Linked DNA regions of Arabidopsis thaliana. The protein of the gene in region 3 interacts with the protein of the main gene of each other region in a pairwise test. Each region holds a gene or a part of one and is shown on either strand. Other genes may lie near its edges. The genes, in order: AT4G13530, SUT2 and AT3G56200.

Evidence for each region.
Region 1: the proteins of AT3G56200 (region 3) and AT4G13530 interact in a protein complementation assay, tested with the Arabidopsis thaliana proteins (one large-scale study listed by BioGRID).
Region 2: the proteins of AT3G56200 (region 3) and SUT2 interact in a protein complementation assay, tested with the Arabidopsis thaliana proteins (one large-scale study listed by BioGRID).

What each region holds. Positions count from the first base shown.
Region 1 is NC_003075.7:7,863,419-7,870,461, forward strand, and holds AT4G13530 (uncharacterized protein), read left to right. Parts: upstream 1-2,909; 5' UTR 2,910-3,389; coding exon 3,390-4,076; intron 4,077-5,011; coding exon 5,012-5,137; 3' UTR 5,138-5,758; downstream 5,759-7,043. Other genes in the region: SMAP1 (small acidic protein 1), read left to right, coding at 1,044-1,232; AT4G13540 (golgin family A protein), read left to right, coding at 6,478-6,841, 6,918-7,043.
Region 2 is NC_003071.7:826,513-834,837, reverse strand, and holds SUT2 (sucrose transporter 2), read left to right. Parts: upstream 1-2,218; 5' UTR 2,219-2,541; coding exon 2,542-2,808; intron 2,809-3,316; coding exon 3,317-3,382; intron 3,383-3,529; coding exon 3,530-3,628; intron 3,629-3,729; coding exon 3,730-3,794; intron 3,795-3,887; coding exon 3,888-3,972; intron 3,973-4,064; coding exon 4,065-4,098; intron 4,099-4,207; coding exon 4,208-4,307; intron 4,308-4,412; coding exon 4,413-4,488; intron 4,489-4,771; coding exon 4,772-5,110; intron 5,111-5,238; coding exon 5,239-5,382; intron 5,383-5,479; coding exon 5,480-5,713; intron 5,714-5,804; coding exon 5,805-5,868; intron 5,869-5,964; coding exon 5,965-6,008; intron 6,009-6,124; coding exon 6,125-6,292; 3' UTR 6,293-6,559; downstream 6,560-8,325. Other genes in the region: ARPN (plantacyanin), read left to right, coding at 7,118-7,307, 8,009-8,208. UniProt on the Arabidopsis thaliana protein: Responsible for the transport of sucrose into the cell, with the concomitant uptake of protons (symport system). Can also transport maltose at a lesser rate. May also transport biotin.
Region 3 is NC_003074.8:20,846,805-20,853,137, reverse strand, and holds AT3G56200 (Transmembrane amino acid transporter family protein), read right to left. Parts: upstream 3,377-6,333; 5' UTR 3,052-3,376; coding exon 2,688-3,051; intron 2,584-2,687; coding exon 2,431-2,583; intron 2,343-2,430; coding exon 2,139-2,342; intron 2,042-2,138; coding exon 1,576-2,041; intron 1,480-1,575; coding exon 1,359-1,479; 3' UTR 1,034-1,358; downstream 1-1,033. Other genes in the region: ALPHA-SNAP2 (alpha-soluble NSF attachment protein 2), read left to right, coding at 4,782-4,926, 5,379-5,428, 5,515-5,587, 5,683-5,762, 5,994-6,145.

The DNA.
Region 1 (7,043 bases), on a different chromosome or scaffold from region 3:
ACTTCATTGATTCCAAAAGAGTAATTTCTTTTGTTGATGTCGATGGACTGATTGTTCTTTGCTTCCATGTTTTTTATCCTTTTTTTGCCATGAGACCAAAATTGTAGGATTTACTTAATTGTATCTCCTAAACCTTTTTCATTTTTCAATGAAATATTTACATTCTTAGCAGAAAAAAAAAAAAAAAATTTGTAACAAATGGAAAACTAGCTCATTGGCAAACAAAAAGAGTAAAACCAGCCCATATTAAATATGACTAACACAACCATGTACAAATTAACTCGTTGCCCTTTCCGTAAAAGTGAAACAAATAGATTTATCTTCGTGATTAACGAGAGAGAATAATCGCATCCATCAATCGTATTTTACGACTTTCGATTGTGATAGTTTAATTTATTTCAATGTATGCAGAAACATATCAACTACTGAATTATATATATTAATTAACCATTTTGTAGTCAGAATTAACTGGGATTAAATCACCCAATCCTAAATTTGATTTTGACCTAACTAATGAAAATTTAATAGTAAAAAACTATTACTTTGATTTTACATTTTAACTTTGATAGTTTTTTCTAATTTTTATTAACTAGAAACCTAATTTTTTTTCGTCAACTAGAAAACTATTCTATCTTGATATTATTTTATAATTTTACAGACAACAGAATTATATATAAATAATTTGAGTTTTTTTTTGTAGCTTTTAAAATTGCATTAATCAAATTTGTTTAATAGAGGATATAAACATGGTATTAATAAAAAAAAATTCTAAAAATTCCTCTAGTTCCACTTTTCAGCCAATTCCTCAACTGATGTATCTTAAAAAAAAAAAAAAAAATCCACAGATTCAGCTAAAAATCACTACGAAAAATGAACGATTAAAATTAACATGGGCCACATCAATTGGGCCTAAGAAGATAAAGATGGGCCACAACATTTAGGCCTAAAAGAAAATGACCTCAACATCAAAACTTCGACAGTCAGTCACTGTAACATTTTAGATCTTTCCCGAAGAAGAAAACGAAGAAGAGACGAAGAGAGAAATGAGGCCGATGCAGCTGGATATGTTATCGGAGATGGATGATGCAGGTTCTTCGATGGCCATGGACGTTGATGACCTCGAAGCCATGGAGATACTCAACGAAGGAGGACTTGTCTCAGATAACAAGCTCGCCGACGCCGATTTCTTCAACAAATTCGATGATGATTTCGATGACACCGATATCAACTAAATCCGGTTAAGTTTCCTCTTTAAGATTTCAGTTTTTTTTCCTAAACTTGATGTAATTTGTGGAGAAACCTATGTAGTAAGTGTGTAATAAGTTCTGGGATTTTTATGTTTGTGGTATGTAACAATGTTTTTCTTCATTTGGATTACTAAAACATTTGATTTGTGTGTTATTGTGCTTTGTCTGATTGTTTTTTTTGGCTCAAATTTAGAATGTTTTTTTTTTCCTTGGTTCTGGAGATGATGATGTTTTTTGGAGATTGAAACCTAATTTTCTTTAGTGTTTTGGTATTTTAGTAACTGAAAATTAGAGTCTTTGTATGTGAAGAATGTTGTGAATTTGTATGTGAAGAATGTGAAAGTTATTGATATTGGCTTAAGATAGAAACTAATTGATTCATTTGGTACCATATTCCATTGTGATTGCTTGTAATTTCAACATCTGAGGTCTCTGAAATATGTGTTGATGTGTTTCATTGTGTTGATATTCATGTGACTCACCGGGTCTAGAGAAACTTCCCGGTGAGAGATGAAATCCTCATGTAAGCTGTAACTTTCCACTAGTGATTAAGTGAACTAGGGAACTCATACTGAAGCACATATTCCTACCAACAATTTAATGGCCTAAGAGAAATAGTCTCTTGTATCTTCCATGTAACTCAGATACATCAGTCAATGATTTATATGGATATGGTATCTTGTTCCATGTTGATTTCTTGTAAATTCACCATCTCGTGGTCTCTGAATGTGTGTTGTATTGTGGTATGTGGGAGGGGGTGTATAATTCCTGTCTTGTGGTATGTAGGAGGGGGTGTATAATTCCCCTGGCCAAGTTCTGTTGTTGCATCGTGTCATATTATATTCTCTGGGCCGGTTTTGAGATGGAAATAATGTGCTTGATGTTCAACTATGGTAGAAAGGAAAAGGAGGCTAAGCATAAAGATGTCACTTGTCACTTTGTCAGTCCCTAGCAGTCTTTGTTACTTGCCTTATAGTCGTATGTATGTAGTGTAGCCAAATTTCATGAGATTTCAACATTCGATAGCAATTCATTAGATATCGGTAACCTCTTTTCAGAATCTCTTACTAATAAAAAAAAAGTTATTTGAGGCCTCTCACACTACCCACCTCAGCCTTTTAACAAATGTGTTCTCAAGTTGCCACGTCATCAACTCTCTCAAAAACTCCCAAATCTCTGCAAGCCACCATCCATGAGCCTCTTAACTTTCTTCTCCTCCCTACCTCAACCTTTATAAAATCTCCACATCTTGGTTTAATGACTAAACTCTAAAATTTTGAGTTATAAAAAAGAATGTTTGTTAAACTATGATATTAACGCTAAACATTTATTGAAAAAAAAGTTGGGTTTCGATTAATATTAAATATTTCCTATGTTTCTTAGCAAAAATAAATAAATATTTTCTCTGTTTTTTTTGTTTGATTGTTAGAAAAAAACACACAAAAGTAAATATATTAAAGTTGATTTTAAATATATTATATTTTGTGTTTTACAATTTTCTATCACTTTAAACCAATAAAATTTAATTATTTTTATTAAAGTTTACAATTCATTAATAAAAACTAATAAATATTACATAAAAATTTTAAAAAATCAATTTTTTTGAAACAATTTTTTTTTTCTTCAAAATCAACAAAATAGAACCGAAGGAATATGAATTACGCGGATTACAATTAAATTATCAATTCATCGATCACCTAATTTGAACGAGAAAAAACAAGTAAAAAAACGAAAAGTAAAATAGTAAAAAGTAAAAATACATTCTATTGGATTTGGTTCGGTATCAATAAATTATGATGTTCTTCACAAAATGCATTTATATGACGTGTTTGCTTCCTCTCCCTCCAGTTTCAAGTTGAGCATATCTGATTAGCAAAAGCGGTTGAAGGTCCTCTACTTCTCGGCCCACCGTAACAACATACACTGTCAATCCATATAGTTATCATAAACCCACACGTCAACGAAACCACTCTTTTGACTTCATCCTCTATCCAATCACACCACGCCACGTTAACACCACGACCTAGTGTTTCTGTGATCTCCACACAGAGAAAGAAGCGTTTCGGTTCTGTTTTCGCCCCAACACAAAGACTCCTTTTGTTTCTTTTCCTCAATTGGATCGAAAAAACCCCTAACTTTGACATGGAAGGAGAGATTCAAGACTGGGAAATACTTCAGAGCTCGAGATCTACCACGGAAGATGACAATTCGAGGAGCTTGGAGGAGATTGATGATGGCACGCAAGGTATGATTAGGTTTGATCATTTCTCTCTTGAGAACCAGAGTGGTTTGTCTCGTTTGGAGGCAAACGATGAAGATGGGTCTGTTCAATCGGGTAGTCCAGGATGGATCGAACCTAGCTCCGATGTTCCTTATGGTCCGAAGCATTTTAGTGAGTTATGGTCTGATTCAAGCAGTGATCGGCTTGATGATCAGAGGTTAGTGGATGATGATGTGAATAACGAGATGGGTATAGAGAGAAACGAAGTGGGTATTGTTGAATATAGTGAAAGTATAGCTCAAGACATGGATTTGATAAGCTCTGATGAGAGAAAGGAAGAATCTTTACTTCATCCAGTGGAAGGAGAAGGAAACTCTGTTTCTATTGATCCTGGTGTTAAATCTGGTGGTGGAGGAGGAGAAGAGAAAGGGTTTGTGTGGTGGAAAATTCCAATAGAGGTGTTGAAGTATTGTGTGTTGAAAATTAATCCTATTTGGTCTTTGTCCATGGCTGCAGCATTTGTGGGTTTTGTTATGTTAGGGCGTAGATTGTACAATATGAAGAAGAAGACTCGTTCCTTGCAGCTTAAGGTTCTTTTGGATGATAAGGTAACTAGCTTGGTTTATTTGATTGTTTATTGTTCTTTGAGTATGTTGATTCATGAGTCATGTGGTTACTGTATGATCTTTTGGTGTGATATGAGCTCTGCTTAGTTCAACTTTTACTGCTTAGTTAGATGTTTTATTAGTGTCAATTGTTGTTTTGATGGGGAAAATGAGAAGATCAGATCATCCCCTTGTTTGTCCTGGGACCAGTTTCTTGTTGCTAAGTAGTTTAGATGCAACCAGCGACTCGAGGTCATAGTATTCACCAACAGGCATACACTCGTACCCATTTACACTATCTTGCTAAGGGTTTTTGATATAGCACCACTGCATCGGTTGAGTTCTTGATAGATACTTTTGGCATAGAATGTGTAGTTGGTGAGAGCAGTGTTAATAGTCGTTAGAATACCACCTGGGTGATCTATTTCTTTGTCCGTCCTCTCTGTTGTTTCATCTCCTATAATGCTTAAACAACATATTTTTTATTTTTACATTTTGAGTTTGCATGTTCTTTCTAATAGCTAAAGGATAGTTGAAAGATCTTTAGACTAGTTTTCAGTAGTTATTCTTTGTAGATTTTTCATGTTGGTAGCCAGAGATGGAAGTTACTATATATTACGAATCTTATCGTAAAATGTTTCTTTGAGGAATGGATAAAAGTAGTGGTAAAACCTGAAAGTTTAGTTTAACTGATCTTCCACTGGTACAAAGCCTCAGTAAGGACCCAAGTTTGAATCCTGCTTACGGTTGCATATAACTTGGCGGATCAAATATGTCTTTTGCTGCTGAAATTCACGTTCTTGCTTGACTTGTATTCATCTTTTTCACTCATGGCAATGAAGAACAAAAGTTCTAAGTATTTCAGAACACAATTCGGAAGATTTTTACACCATCTGATTCTTGTATTGTCTGTCTTTTGAATGAAATACTTTTTTCAGAAGGTGGCGAATCATGCTGCTCGGTGGAACGAAGCAATCTCGGTAGTGAAACGTGTGCCCATAATCCGGCCAGCACTTCCGTCATCAGTGGGTATGAACCAGTGGTCCATGATGAGTTTAAGGTGAAAATTAAGTGAATTTGAGGGCATAATAATGCATATATGTGAGATTATATGATTTGATGTGGTTGGTGCATGTATCATATGATTGTATTAAAAATGTTACAAAAACATACAAAAAGATGCTTGTAAGTTTGTACTGTGTGTGTATATATTGTTACTTGCTTGGTGGAATACAAATTGGATCAGAATCATAGTGCAGTTTTGGAAGGTTGCGGTCAGAATCTAACCTTGATAAGCTTCTGAGCTGGTCTTAGTAGGCAGTGTCGTAAAGAGATTGTACAAAGACAAAAGCCAATAACGGAATTTTGGTTGTTTATTTAGAAAGTACGACTCTTTAAGATATGAAAAGGGTTAAGACAAAAACCCAAATTAACAGGGAAGTTCACGTGAAGAGGGCAATGTTTCTGATTGATGTAGCCATGTAGGAGTCTATCTTTCACTTTATAGCTATCCTAAACTCTACGATGTCAATTGTGATTAGATATATGTCTCTTCTTCTTGTTTCTTTGTCTTCTTTCACTCTATTATTCGTTGACCATTGTACCACCAAAGTTTGGTATACTCACTTATCATACTTAAATCACAAGTGAGTATTGTAAGGAACTAAGGATCCAAAGCTAAAGCATACTCATGAAGTTTAACTATTGACGTTTAACGGAAATAAAGCAAACCAAAATTCGAACTTCAAGATAAATCTACCCATTGTCTTCACGTAACATACTCAAATTTTGGTTTGCTATGTTTGATTCGGTCTATAAAAACACAGACAATAACTTAAGACCTATGTAACAATTTCCTCCATGAGAAGAAGACAAATTAGACCAAAAGTTTGAGAGAAACCTATAAAACCTACAAATATTGGGAAGAAAAAATAGGAGTAAATAGGTATGGGTCCATGTTAATGATGCATGTGACAAACAATCAAAGCCCACACCATTAATTGGAGATTGAAGAAAAAACACTGCTTTTCATATTCTGTAACACCACTTCAATTCCTTTTTCTCTTGTTTCCTATTCAGTACTATGTCCTGAGAGTGCCCATAACTTCTTTTGTCTTTTTATCTCAGTTTCCATAAGAAATAATCAACTCAAGCCACAATGTGTGTTTGTGTGATTAGTTTTGTGATAAGACATTCCATAATTTTCCTATTGTGTGTTTAGGATAAGTGAAGATGCTTTTGGTTTGGACCATATTATATAAATAACATGTGTCTGCAATGCCGCAAAGTGGAGCTTTCTTCACTCACAATAATCATTTTTTTTTTTCATTGAATGAAACAAACAAGACATTCAAAATAGAACAAAAGTTCTACAGAGATAGAGAGAGAAAGAGAGCTTTTCTTCATGGGTGGTTCTACAAGCAAGGATGAGAGAAACAGTAGTAAGAGACGCATCAAGGTGAAAGCAAATGAACAGAGAAGGAGAGAAACAAGAAGAGAGCTTGATGAGAAAGAGAGAGTGATTTTGGCGTTGAAGATGGCAGAGACAGAGTGGAGGAAAGAGAGGAAGAGACTGAGAGAGGAAGTGAAGAGGCTGAGACAGAAGATGGAAGAGAAGGAAGAAGGAAAGGCGAAACAACACGAGTGGGAATGGGTCGTGGAACAGATGTGTTTAGAGAGAGCAGTGAGGGAAGAAGCTGTGGAGAGGTGGAAGCAGCTCTACTTTGCTATCAAGAATGAGCTTGATGATCTCATCCACACAACATATGGTAAGACCTTTCACAAATAATCTCATCTTTGATGTTTTGAGAAAGGAAGGTAATGAGTTTTTTTTTTCTTTTGTAGGAGAGGCACTGAGACAGAAACCGCAAGAAGAAGTTGCAAAGGCAGTGCAAGAACTCAGAAAGGAAGTTAAAGCTAGGGGAGAAACCATTGAGACACTGAAAGGGAGAATAAATTTGATGGAGAAAC
Region 2 (8,325 bases), on a different chromosome or scaffold from region 3:
GAGTTCGTAAAAGAGCTGTCTCCACGTGACGTGATTCTTTTTTATTTCTTCACGTTCTTTCCACATTTCTATCTTTCAATATCGATGGTTACATTCTCAATAATGATTAATGACCATTATAATTTTTCTTTATCAACTTTAATGGAGTTATTATGTGAAACAGTGTAAGCCCCATTCTTATGTATATATGTAAATATCACATTATAAATTATGATCTATCGACAGAGAACGACAAAATTGCCAACCAATCACTAAGTTAGAAAATTAAATTTATTGTAATAACGCATCTCTTTTTTTTTTTTTAAACATATAGTTTTTATATTATTAATATTTGAATTTGTCGTTTGAGAAATGACGAAGGAGTTATTTTCAGGCGTAAGCATTTGACGTGCTCGACGTTAAGGAGATGACGTGTTAAGTTATGGTACATATGTTTTTTTCTCTTTTATTTGGGTCATAGCCGCGTTCAACACGTGCTTTTTGTCAAATGTAATTACATGATTAAACTAAAAAAACTTATTACTGTTTTTCAATCAACTTATTAACCTTGATCTTTTTTATAACAAAATAAAAATAAAAATTGGCACATGATCAAATCATCAATCTCAAATAAGATAAAACCAAAGGTGTAATAAGGTTCATTTTTTTGTGGAGAAACCGAGTCAATGCTACCAAATTGCCTATATAGGCTTGAATTTTATGTAAATGCTTTTTTGAATGGAATAATCCGATTTTTTATTTTATTTTTTCTTATGTAAAATTATAACATGGTATAGATAAAAAATTTGTTTTGTAATAAGTGATATTTGGTCTAACGGCGCGTATGTATAGTTCTTTTACAAAAGTGAGTAATAGTGGTTTTCTGGTTCAAATACTATTGAGAATGGTATCAGTTTTGATGGACAACAAGTGTATGAGACTCGGCTATAACTTCTCAATTAACCATTAACCATTAAAGAATACAAAATTTGGATTTTCGACTATACTTTGGTTCGGATACATCATACATGCATGCACACCATAACAACTAAACTCAAAAGGATTTGTTTTTGAACTTTTGATGATAAGAAAAAGAAAAAAAAGATGGGACATAAGAGTCATGTACACGTGGATAAGGAAAGGAGAAGAGAGGGACAAGGGAAGAGATGGAGAAAGAGAGACGTAAGTATTAATTCAATTGTGTGCCCTATTAGCTTTCATTTTCCACAAGCAAGAATAATATTAATAATTATGTATCATCTTTGCATTTTTGTACCAATACATGATACATTTGTTAGGCACACGTCTTTTTCCTTTTTCCTCCTTTTTATTTCTAACTTTCTTCCTTTTATTCGTTTAATCCGGCTCTATCACGTTAACACACATATATGTTATATCATCTTTTTACAAACATGTTTACATTAGTTATTAGAAAATACATATACTTGTAATAGTGACATTGGTAAGAAGAACTCTATCACCTTCACAATCACACACATATATGTTATATAATCTTTTTACAAACATGTTTACATTAGTTATTAGAAAATACATATACTTGTAAATAGTGACATTGGTAAGAAGAAAAAAACACTATTAAATAGTGAAAAAATGTTTATAACTCTCTTAATTAACATTACTTATTATTGCTAGCACCTAAAATCTCCCACAAAATATTTGTTGTAAAACACAAATTTACAAAATGATTTTGTTTTTAAATTAGTAACACATGTTCATATATACGTTAATAAGAACATACCCTATATGATTTTATATAAAAAAATTTCTTTGAGACGTCTTATCCTTTTTTCTTTAATAATATGCAATTGTGAGAGTTTGGATTTGAATGGTAGCATTAGAAGCAAACTTGAACCAAACATATTTCATGAAGTCAAACTTGAACCAATGTAATCACTAATCACAGTGTTCGCAGTGTAAGGCATCAGAAAATAGAAGAAGGGACATAGCTATGAATCATATAATCTTGACACATGTTTTATAGGTTTTAGGTGTGTATGCTAACAAAAAATGAGACAGCTTTCTTCTAATAGACTTAATATTTGGGCTAAATGTACCACAGTTGTGAATTTCTTACAAAAATGGGCCGAGCTACAAAAAACTACAGGCCCACTCTCAACTCTTATCAAACGACACCGTTTTACTTTTTTAAAAGCACACACTTTTTGTTTGGTGTCGGTGACGGTGAGTTTCGTCCGCTCTTCCTTTAAATTGAAGCAACGGTTTTGATCCGATCAAATCCAACGGTGCTGATTACACAAAGCCCGAGACGAAAACGTTGACTATTAAGTTAGGTTTTAATCTCATCCGTTAATCTACAAATCAACGGTTCCCTGTAAAACGAATCTTCCTTCCTTCTTCACTTCCGCGTCTTCTCTCTCAATCACCTCAAAAAAATCGATTTCATCAAAATATTCACCCGCCCGAATTTGACTCTCCGATCATCGTCTCCGAATCTAGATCGACGAGATCAAAACCCTAGAAATCTAAATCGGAATGAGAAATTGATTTTGATACGAATTAGGGATCTGTGTGTTGAGGACGATGAGTGACTCGGTGTCGATCTCGGTTCCGTATAGGAATTTGAGGAAGGAAATTGAACTTGAGACGGTCACCAAGCATCGTCAAAACGAATCTGGTTCTTCGTCGTTCTCTGAATCTGCTTCTCCTTCGAATCATTCTGATTCGGCTGATGGTGAATCTGTGTCGAAGAATTGTAGTTTAGTGACGTTGGTTCTTAGTTGTACAGTTGCCGCTGGAGTTCAATTTGGTTGGGCATTGCAACTTTCTCTTCTTACTCCTTATATTCAGGTACTTACTATTACTCTTGTCATTGTTACCATTTCTATCACTTGTGGCTTTCTCTATAGCAATTTAGATTCGAGGGTTTTGTTCTTGTGTAGCTTTGTACGAGAAAGTCGAGTACTTTGTAGGTGAATCAATGAATTCTAATACTTAGGTTAGGTAGTTGTTGTCACCAACATAGCCATGAGATATTTTCGTATGGAACTCTATAGCATTGGCTTATCGAAGAGTATATGACATTGGAATTTAGCTAGATTGTTTATGTTCATTGGATTACATAAGCATTTGTAAAAATATAAAAGACCTTAGCCTTTTTCGGAACTATTGTATAATCAGAGATTAGACTGTGTTTAGAATAGTATTGTACTGGTCATATATGTATCAGGTGGGTAGTTATGGTGGTAGATAGAACTATTGTTAAATATCTGTTTGCTGGAAGTATTTTGATTTTCTTGTTGCTGAAGAACCCTTTTGAGTTTTATCTAACAGTGTTGCATTTGGTTGGTTGATGCAGACCCTTGGAATATCGCATGCTTTTTCTTCGTTTATTTGGCTGTGCGGCCCAATTACAGGCCTTGTGGTAGGTTAAAAGTTTCTTTAAGAATTTTAGCAGTTTTACTATCTTGCACGTAATGATCTCACGAGAGTTCAAGTTTTGATTTATATTGGATCAGAAACTATTTTTCTGCCCCATTTTGTTCATACTTATTTGTTTGTTGGGTTTTAGGTCCAGCCTTTTGTTGGCATTTGGAGTGATAAATGTACTTCAAAGTATGGAAGAAGACGACCATTTATTCTAGTTGGATCATTCATGATCTCAATAGCAGTAAGTGCCAATAGAAGATATGATTTCTGTTTTGATTTTCTTTTAGGAGATAGCTGGCTACATTGTGTTTTATATAAGCTAAACAAAAGCTTGCAATTTAGGTGATAATAATCGGATTTTCTGCAGACATTGGGTATCTGTTAGGAGATTCAAAGGAACATTGCAGGTAACTCTCCTGCTCCCCTGCCAATGGCATGTTTTTTATGGAATGTATCAAAATTAAAGTAACTGACGACTTGATGTGTATCTTGAAATGCAGTACTTTCAAAGGCACACGAACCAGGGCAGCTGTTGTCTTTATCATTGGGTTTTGGTTGTTGGATCTAGCAAACAATACAGTACAGGTTCAGATCTGCCTCTGCAATGTACTTGAGTGAATGGTACTAGTCATTACCTCTGTATCCAGGAATGATGTTTTCGGCTTTTTTATTTTCAGGGACCTGCTCGTGCTCTTCTAGCTGATCTATCAGGTAATAATGGAATATAACCATACACTTAACAGAACAGAATTTCTATTCAAACTCTAGAATCAGATTGAATATGCTGTGCTTCTAATGAGATGTCTCTTGCTGTCCCTAGGTCCTGATCAGCGGAATACTGCAAATGCTGTGTTCTGCTTGTGGATGGCTATTGGGAACATCCTTGGGTTTTCTGCCGGTGCTAGCGGAAAATGGCAAGAGTAATCTTTGAGATCCTTATTCTCAAAATCTTGTATTCTTTTTCCTCATTTGCAATTTTGCATTTTCCGCCAGCTGTTAAATGATCAGGCAATTTTACTGCGCAGATGGTTCCCTTTTTTAACTAGTAGAGCATGTTGTGCTGCATGTGGAAATCTCAAAGCAGCGTTTCTTCTTGCAGTGGTAAGCAGTATGTTTAATTTTCTGACACATGCATCTTACTAAGCTTTCTAAATTGCAATGGAATGGGCTGGTCTTTACGAAACACTCTCACGTTTGTACATTGTGACTTGTGATTCATATATGTCGCAAATCAATGCGTTCTGTTTGTATGTCTATATTATTTTTGAGGTGATTTTGAAAGTGAAATTATATTATTGCACCCAGTGGCTTTTGTTCTTGTTTCATAGTCTAAAATCTGAATATATTGTTCTATATGTTTTAAGAGTTTAAATCATTTTTTCAGGTCTTTCTCACTATATGTACTCTTGTCACAATCTATTTTGCTAAAGAGATTCCTTTTACAAGCAACAAGCCCACCCGCATACAAGATTCTGCACCTTTGTTGGATGATCTCCAGTCCAAAGGCCTTGAGCATTCAAAATTAAATAATGGTACTGCCAATGGAATCAAGTATGAGAGAGTGGAACGTGATACGGATGAACAGTTTGGCAATTCAGAGAATGAGCATCAAGATGAGACCTACGTTGATGGCCCTGGATCTGTTTTAGTGAATTTGCTAACTAGTTTAAGGCATTTGCCACCGGCTATGCACTCAGTTCTTATCGTCATGGCTCTTACATGGGTGAGTGCCAAAGAAAAATTATGATCAGTTATTACATATTTCACACTGTTTCTTTTCTTAAACTCTTTAATGATCTTTAAAATTATTTGCTTCTGTTATATTTTTGATTGTGGTCTTGTTCTTTGCAGTTATCCTGGTTCCCCTTCTTTCTGTTCGATACAGATTGGATGGGAAGAGAAGTTTACCATGGGGATCCAACAGGAGATAGTTTGCATATGGAACTCTATGATCAAGGTGTACGTGAAGGTGCACTTGGTTTGCTACTAAACTCTGTAAGAATCGTTATAATAACCTGTTTTTTAACTGCACTGCTCTTCAAAATTCAATTACTCGCCCGTTATTGAATATTCTTCTTCCCTGTTTCCGTAGGTTGTTCTTGGGATCAGCTCATTTCTCATTGAACCAATGTGTCAGCGGATGGGTGCTCGGGTTGTATGGGCTTTGAGCAATTTTACTGTATTTGCCTGCATGGCGGGAACAGCTGTAATCAGCTTGATGTCTCTCAGTGATGACAAAAATGGAATTGAATACATAATGCGTGGAAACGAAACAACAAGAACCGCAGCCGTAATCGTTTTTGCACTCCTTGGTTTTCCCCTAGCTGTATGTGCTTTCTTTCAACCGTAATTCTCTTTATTCTTTTCGTGTTGCAACATTTCTCTAAAATATGTGATAAAACCATTCTTTAATGCAGATCACATACAGTGTCCCTTTCTCTGTCACAGCAGAAGTCACTGCTGATTCCGGTGGCGGTCAAGGTCTGTGAAAAGATTCATATCTTCACTATATTCATAGTTTTTGTACTTAAATCTTAGATTTCAGTAATCCCTAATGGTTTCATTTCCTCACTCCAGGTTTGGCTATAGGAGTGTTGAATCTCGCAATCGTTATTCCCCAGGCAATCTCTCAAATCTAATTACACTGATAAATTTCATTCTCTTGTATAATGCCACTCACTTCGAGTGTAGTCTTGACCCGTAAATAGTGTCTGAATATGGTTTTGGCTCTAAACAGATGATAGTATCACTTGGAGCGGGTCCATGGGATCAATTGTTTGGAGGAGGAAACTTACCGGCGTTTGTTTTGGCGTCTGTTGCTGCTTTCGCTGCTGGAGTTATTGCATTGCAAAGGCTTCCCACGCTATCGAGTTCTTTCAAGTCCACCGGTTTCCACATCGGCTAAAATCTTTATACCACAGACATAAAATTCACAGTTAGATCTACCCGATTCTTTTTGACCACGTTCTCCTCTCGGCGTATATGTAAGTAGGTTTTGTACATCTAGTTTTCTTATATGTTATACACAGCAATGTGACTCTAAATTTACAGTACCTCTCTTCTCACGTAGAATATATCTTCGTTATTTTGAATCACTTTATATTTGTGTGTTCCTTTCCTCACAAATAGAAACTTGAAGCAACATATTCCAAACTCAATAGTCCAATCTAATAACACAATACTGTTGGTTCTTTAACCTATGATGTGTACGTTTTCCCAACATTACCATACTAATATAACAAAGCATTTCAATAAGAACACAAATTCAAACCTATTTTCGCCTATAAACTATGTACTAAAATCATAACCAAACTATATCTCCAATAGAAACAATGTGTCCATAAATAATAAATGCTCATATATCGTGGGTTGTTGATGACATAGTCTTTGTCCACAAGTTCCTTATTTAGTTGATATAAGCATTTTCAAAACAAAGAAACAAAATTCAACTTAGTGTAACAATGTCAAAACCAAACTCTTATCTTCAATAATGAGACAAAAGAAACCGAAGTTAAGTCTATAATCAATTTCTACATAGACAATGTGGCCAAAAATAATAAATGAACATATATCATGGGTTGTTGAGACACCCAATTTAATAAAATAAAAACATTGAATGTCTTATTTTCTTCTTCTTTAAAAACCCTTTGTACATTTACTCTTCAATTCATCCTCATTTACTCTCTATAGTTTCTCTCTCTTTCTCTAAACTTTCACCTAAGATCGATCAATGGCCAAGGGAAGAGGCAGTGCATCATGGTCGGCTCGAGCCATAGTGACTCTCATGGCTGTGTCAGTGTTGTTGCTTCAAGCTGACTACGTTCAAGCTGCAACGTACACGGTCGGTGACTCTGGTATCTGGACCTTTAACGCTGTGGGTTGGCCTAAAGGCAAACACTTTAGAGCCGGCGACGTTCTTGGTATATACTTCACATCCTTTTAATCAAGCTTCAGTAATTATTATACTATCTTGTTACACTTAAACCACAAGCAGTTAAGCTTTCTAATCTTCATATCCACTAGGGATGTATCCATATCATGGCTGCTTCTAAGTATGGGCAAGATGTGCTTTTGTATAAAGCACACGACAAATAAAAAACTTCCTATAGTTTAAAGGTTACAAATATGATTGATAAATGTTTTGCATACACAGTTTAAATAGTGTATATCTTTTACATGATTGAGCCTGTGATATATTTTACTATATTATAGATATGTATGTATACATCTTCCTTCTCCAAAATTTTTTTTCTAGTTTCGATTATTCACAAACGCTGATTTATGTGTATAGCAAAAATTCATGTGCGTTTAAATTTAACAAAAAATATTTTAAAATATCATAAATAGTACCACTAACCTAATTTTTAATTTATTTTGGTATACTTGAGTGATGAATTAAAATTGTTTTCGCATGAAGAAATATCTCAACCAACGTTATAGTATGTAGATTTATGAAATTCCTAAACAGTTCCAGCTACTTTATAATCTGAGTGTCAATATATGGAATCAATTAAGAGTGGTCGAGTAATCAATTATATGATTAACTAATTTAACGTTAGACCAAAAAAAAAAAATTATATGATTAACTTAAAATTTTATATTTTCCAAAACTTTGGTGCAGTGTTTAACTATAATCCGAGGATGCACAACGTAGTGAAGGTAGATAGCGGAAGTTACAACAACTGCAAAACACCGACAGGGGCAAAACCTTACACTTCAGGCAAAGATCGTATAACTTTGTCTAAAGGACAAAACTTTTTCATCTGCAATTTTCCAAACCATTGCGAAAGCGATATGAAAATCGCAGTCACCGCGGTTTGATCGAACATCTAGCAATGAAAATAGTTTGATAACTTGTTATGTTCTTAAGAAACTATTGAAGTATGCAATAAAACTCGTATCAAAACTTTTTTTGTTTTTCTTATGTTTTCTGAAAAG
Region 3 (6,333 bases):
GACTTGTATCACTTCGGCTTTAATGATATTGTTGTTTATTCTTGTGTTAACGGACTAAACGAGTGTTCAGCTTAATGTGTTCAGTTTTAATAAAACTTGTCTTAATGTGATATGTTGTCTTAATCTTTAGTTTAAGTATTCTATGTTTTCTTATTTGTGAATGTTTAGTCTTCAGTGTTAGTGTGTTGTGTTTCAATATGACTTGTGTTCGTAAGAAGTTCCATATGACTTGTCTTCAGTTTTAGTTCCAATGTGACTTGTGTTCAGTTTAAGTTCCATATGACTTGTCTTCAGTTTTAGTTCGAATAAAGCTTGTGTTTAGTTTAAGTAGCAAACAAGCTTGTGTTCAGTTTAAGTTCCATATGGTTGTCTTAATGTTAATGTTCTTGTATGTCTCTTCTTAATGTTGGTTTCTTGTTTTGTTACAGACTTAAATAATGCTTCCACCTTCTCTAAATCACTCCAGTGCCGACATTACTTGTATAAAAGAGACCACATGTTTTAAGTCACCACAAGTTTGTACTTTGGTTTGAATGCTTGTACACCACAAAATAATATTCGGAAAACACTAGTTCTTATTGTGTATTCTATGACATCACTTGTATGCTAAACAATAATTTTGTTTTCATTGTTCTAAATTTTGAAGTCTCTGTATATGCATACAAAAACACTCTTCTTTTATCCACTGTTATTGTTTTAAGTATCCACTCTTCTTGTTCTCTACAACAAACCCAATAAACATTCTTCTTTCACCAAATAAACACTCTTCTTTAACCTAATACACACTCTTCCTTTTACCCAATTAACACTCTTTTTCACAAACTAAGAAAAATTTCTCACTTAAGGATTCCACTTAAGGATTCCACCATTGGACACTAAAAATTATAAAGATTCAACCAAAAACTCTAAACTCTCATTTACTTAAAATTTACTATTAAAAAATTGTAAGGAGTCCTTAATTAGGACTCCCCAATGGGGATGCTCTAAGTCTTGGTATCTTCATAATCTTAAGCTTTCGAAGGTTTGTATCATCTTTATGTTCCTCTTTTTTTCCAACTTAGAACCCTTCAATTTTTGTTCCAAAAGAAAGGAATAGTCTGATACAGATGTACTTTGTTCATTCAAATAATGGTCTACAAAAAGTAATTTAAAGAATACAAGTTTTGAAGAGTTGTTCATTTCCTCTTTCTCTGTTTCAAGCAGCAACAAAAATTGCACTTTGTATAGCTATTACATTGCATTTTCTGACAAACCTATTTCACAAAGATATAAATATGAATGCTACGGCAAGCTAATAATTTTACAGATTTCTTTGAAGTGATCATGGAAGGGACTGTTTGCAAAACTTTTTTCAACGACTAGTTTGCTGCGAGGCTGTATAAATTTGTCGAGATAGCAATAATGCTAGTGGCAACAGCAAGAACAAGCATTATTGCAGCTACGATCTTCTCTCTTGAGGTTGATACACCATGGATATTCCTGCCATTTCAGAATCAGAAAGCAGTTGGTAAGATTTTTATAGGAAGTTTGAAGCAACTGATAAAGTACATAGTAAAGGAAACAAAGCATATCTACCTTAGAACAATGGCGGCTGGAAATATGAATGCTATGGAGACTGTGATGGTTGATCCCATGAACTGAAAGAAGTACCAAATGTCTGGTACAGCGATTGCAGACAAGAAACAGCAAATCAGTAGAGCCAGAGTGAGTCCGATGAATCTTTTTGTGTCTTTTTCCAAGGACGGCTTCTTGGGGTACAAGAGTTCGTCGAGATTTGCTCTCAATGAGAAGTTCAGGAGAGGAAAGACCAGCATGAGGTGAAGCACGTAGCTGAGTCTGACAATGTCGTTGAGAAGAGAACCAATGGAAGAACCAGAGCTCTGGTCAAAGTTCACTAGAATATCCGACATAGTTGCATCTCCAAAGAGAAGGTAACCAAAGAGTCCAGTTGCGAAGTAGATAGCAGCACACAAGATGACAGAGATCTTAGTTGCTGGGATCACTTGTAATGGATCTTTGAGCTCGAATCCAATTGGATGAACTGCACATTTTGAATCACAACACCAAACTCAGAAACATGAAAAAACAGAGAAAACAGAGAAACAGTTACCAATATGGTGAAAGAGATGGGTTCTTACCATTGAAGTGAAACGTGAAGGCTGTAACTATAACAGGGGAAGCTGTGAAGAGTTGCCAGAACGATCCTCCATTGCTCAACTCCGGAAACAGTCTTGGATTCTTCGTTTGTCCATTCACCAGCGCGGAAATCGCCAGCACCGAGCTTATGACAACAAATAGAACCGCAAGAAGAAACGATACAGCGGAACTAATTGCCAGTCTTTCTACATAACCATTAACAAAAAGAAAATCATCAACAATCTCATAGATATCCATAATTTTGAGAACACAAGATTATAGAGAGAAACTTACCGACTCGTCTACGCAGGACCAATGGAAGCAAGACAAAGCCGTAGACAAATAACAAAGCGAAGATTCTCGTGTTCCACCAGTAAGAACCAAACCATTCTTGCAAAACTCCAATATGTTCAGGACCACCATTTTCATTACCAGAAAGCACATCTCCTGAGAGAGTAAACACATACAAATCCAAACTCAGCCAATCTGTTCTTAAGCTCAAATAGTAGCTGAGACCTCTACACTTAGATGATTAGATCAAATTACTTTACCTATAATAATCGAAAATATAATCATACAACCAAAAGTAGCAACCATCGTAGCAATCTGTACAGCGATGGATCCTGTTTTACCAAACGACTCTTTCATAACTCCGGCGTAAGTAGTTGATTCTCCGGCGAGAGTTGATTTCATCAGAAATCCAACGGAAATTGTGGAAAGCCAAGCTATGATCGTGATAATCAAAAACGCTGGAACTATTCCAAGAACTTTAAACGCCGCCGGCATCGACATTATTCCGGCTCCGATTATACTCGTTGACACGTTGAAAACGATGCCGGAGGTTGATGATCCATGGTTCTCAGACGAAGAAGGTTCTTGCTTCGGCAAGAGATGAGTTTTGATCTGTGGTGTCATTTTTCTAACCGCCGGAGAAACGTAAGAATTTGCCGGCGGGAAGAAGCTTTCCTTTTTTGTAGTTGTTATGAGGAATCGGCTTCATATAGCCACACGGTTAATAGCGAAAAGTACATAAATACCCTTTGAAGATTGGGGATATATGCCTTGACCGTTTGGGGCAAAATCGAGAAAATGATATTTGACCATAGGTAAACCTGACAGGCTGGGCAAATCATGTCAGTGAGATCACCAAATGATCTTTCGTCACGTACTTAAAAACATCACGAAAATAATAATTTTGTTCAAGAGAGGAAATTACAGCTAAAATATGATGAACAATCATAATCATATTATAGACAGAAGTGAATTATTAACAAAAAAACCCCAAAGAATTATACAAAAAAATCCAAAATAAAATGGGTCCGTCCAACACTAATGAATGTGTGCACTTGGATTTCTTCACGAAGAATGTATCTAGACGAAAAAGTGGCCAAATGTGTATCATCGCTTCTCATCTCATATAAGTTGTCCAAAAAAGAAAAAAACTCCTAAATAATTTAAAATTTTCGTGGATATAATAAAATCCAATATATAATCATATCATTGGCGGCCTCAAAGATGGCTCACGTGTAATAAACTAACTTTAGAGCAGACGGTTCGAGACTTTTCATCAAGAAAACGAGAGGGCAGCGAATGCGGAATGTCGAATGAATAATTGAAAACGTGATAAACGAAACAATATAAGAATAATTAAACACTGTCTTCTAAAGTTATTTTTATTTAATCATTTCATATGAATCATATTGAAGTTACTCAGTTAACATTATAGAATGTGACTGATAGCAACATTAATATTGCCGCAGAAATCCCTCGTTGCAAAGTTACAGTTTATTTTAGATCATCTCTGTGTGTAAAGGAGAAGCTTCAGTCAACAACAACAGAGCTTGGGTCAAACTCTCTGCTCAGCTCAGAGTCTCCCAAACAGAATGCTATGGGCCAAGACACTAAGCCCAATACCATTCAACATGTCGAGAAGCCCAACAACAGAAGATTACCTCTGCAACTCACAAAAGACAAAAAAATTACCGATTACCCATGAAATGATTTGCTAAAAAATTGAACATTTCATAGATTTGTAACGGTTGTTATTTAGCCATTGTTGTTATTCATGTGTTTGATATTAAAACCGATATTGTTGTTACTCATGTGTTTGATATTAAAACATACTAGGTTTTTACCAGTTTGTGCATTTTGGAACATAGGTTTGTTTAGTGGAAACTGTCAGCAATATTTGTCGTGATTTGAGAACTATAATAATGGCTAATGAAGAATGTAGAAGGACGAGCAGATATAACAGGAAATCGTTTTACTTGATAATTCATGTAAGCTTTTCTTCAATCCCAACTGATAAACCTGATCCCATATTTTCTAAGCTTGGTTAAAGCGACCCAATAACAAAGTACGGAAAAACTTTTGATTGGGCTAACTTGGGCTTTTCAAAACAAAGCCCATATTTTAAATAGACAAATTTGGCCCACTTTAGTCGGTTGAAAAATCTTTTCCCCTATCGAAGCGTGTCTCTGATTTTTCGCTCTCGATCGATTCTCGTCTCTCTCTCTTTCATCGCAGCGAATAATCCAAATCGAAAGCAATTTCTCTCGACGAAGAAAAGAGAAGCAATCGGAGTCTGTGGAGGTAAAGAAGTACACGATCAAATTTCAAGTCAGAGTTTCGGGGAAAAAAAAGGAATGGGGGATCATCTGGTGAGAGCTGAGGAATTCGAGAAGAAAGCTGAGAAAAAGCTCAATGGATGGGGAATATTCGGATCTAAGTACGAGGATGCTGCTGATCTGCTCGAAAAAGCAGCTAATTCCTATAAGCTCGCCAAATCATGTAATTTCCATAAATAAAATTTCTTTGCTTTTGATTATTGTTTCATCGGATTGGTGTCGTGTTTTTTTTTATTGTTGTTCTTTGTGATGATGAGGAAGAAAAAAAAGGTGAAATTTGAAACGTTTGATCTTAGGTTTATCAGTTGCGGTGATTTGTCTATGGTCATGTGAGAAGTAGAATTAGTATCTGGGTTTATATTAGGTCTATTTTGATCTGTAAGAAATTTATGGTTGATAATTTCATACGAAAACATTTTAAATCGGAGATTCATCATTCTGATTCCTTGATATTGGTTTCTGGCCTTCTAGCAAGTCATTGATAAGTGGCACAATTATAGTACCTAATTTGGGTTCTATTTGGCTGAGTTTAATAGGTTTCATGTTCTTTTCTGATATTTGTTTAATTCTCCAACGCTATCTTCTTACTTATGTGTTGCATTTGTGATTGTTCAGGGGATCAAGCTGGAAAAGCTTATCTAAAACTTGCCGACTGTCACTTAAAGGTTAATTCTTTGGCAACACATATATATGATACTGGACTAATGTGTGGATTGTTTGATAACATTGATTTGCATGATTGCATCTGCAGTCAGATAGCAAACATGATGCTGCTAACGCCTATGCTGAGGCTGCTAAATGCTACAAGAAAGTTGACACTAATGGTATGTATAAAGCTACTTTTGTAATTGTCATCTCTGTAATGCAAGAGTGATTATGAATTCTTATGTGTTTTCATGCGTCCTAATATTATATGCAGAGGCTGCGTCTTGCCTAGAGCGAGCGGTGAATATATTTTGTGAGATAGGAAGGCTCAACATGGCTGCAAGATATTACAAGGTACCACTTGTCTCTTTTGAGCATGAATTAGATATTATTCTTTTAGTACGGATACTGAGAAGATAGTTTTATTGGGGCACTTCTTCTGTATTTCCTCCATGGTTCCTGTTTCTTTATGCATGTTCAGTCGGATTCAGATTGTCTTTTTCCTTTTCTAAACTAAAGTAAGCATGGTGCTGACTTGCTGTATTTGGACTAATTTGTACATTAATGGTTTTTTACTTTTGACAGGAAATTGCTGAGTATTATGAATCTGATCAGAAGTTCGAGCAGGCTATTGCTTACTTTGAAAAGGCAGCTGAATTCTTTCAGAATGAAGAAGTGACCACTTCTGCAAACCAGTGCAATCTAAAGGTTGCGCAATATGCCGCCCAGCTGGAGCAGTAAGATTTTCGGCACATTACCTTTCTTTTTGCTTTCTCATCCCTTAGCATTGAAGTGCTTATAGTACTCAGATGGAACCCTGTTAAAATCGAATTGTCAATCCACAAACTTGTCATTGTATGGAATTGTGATGTTCTCTATGCAGTATGCATGAGCACAGCAATTATAGCCTTTTCTCTACTTTGGG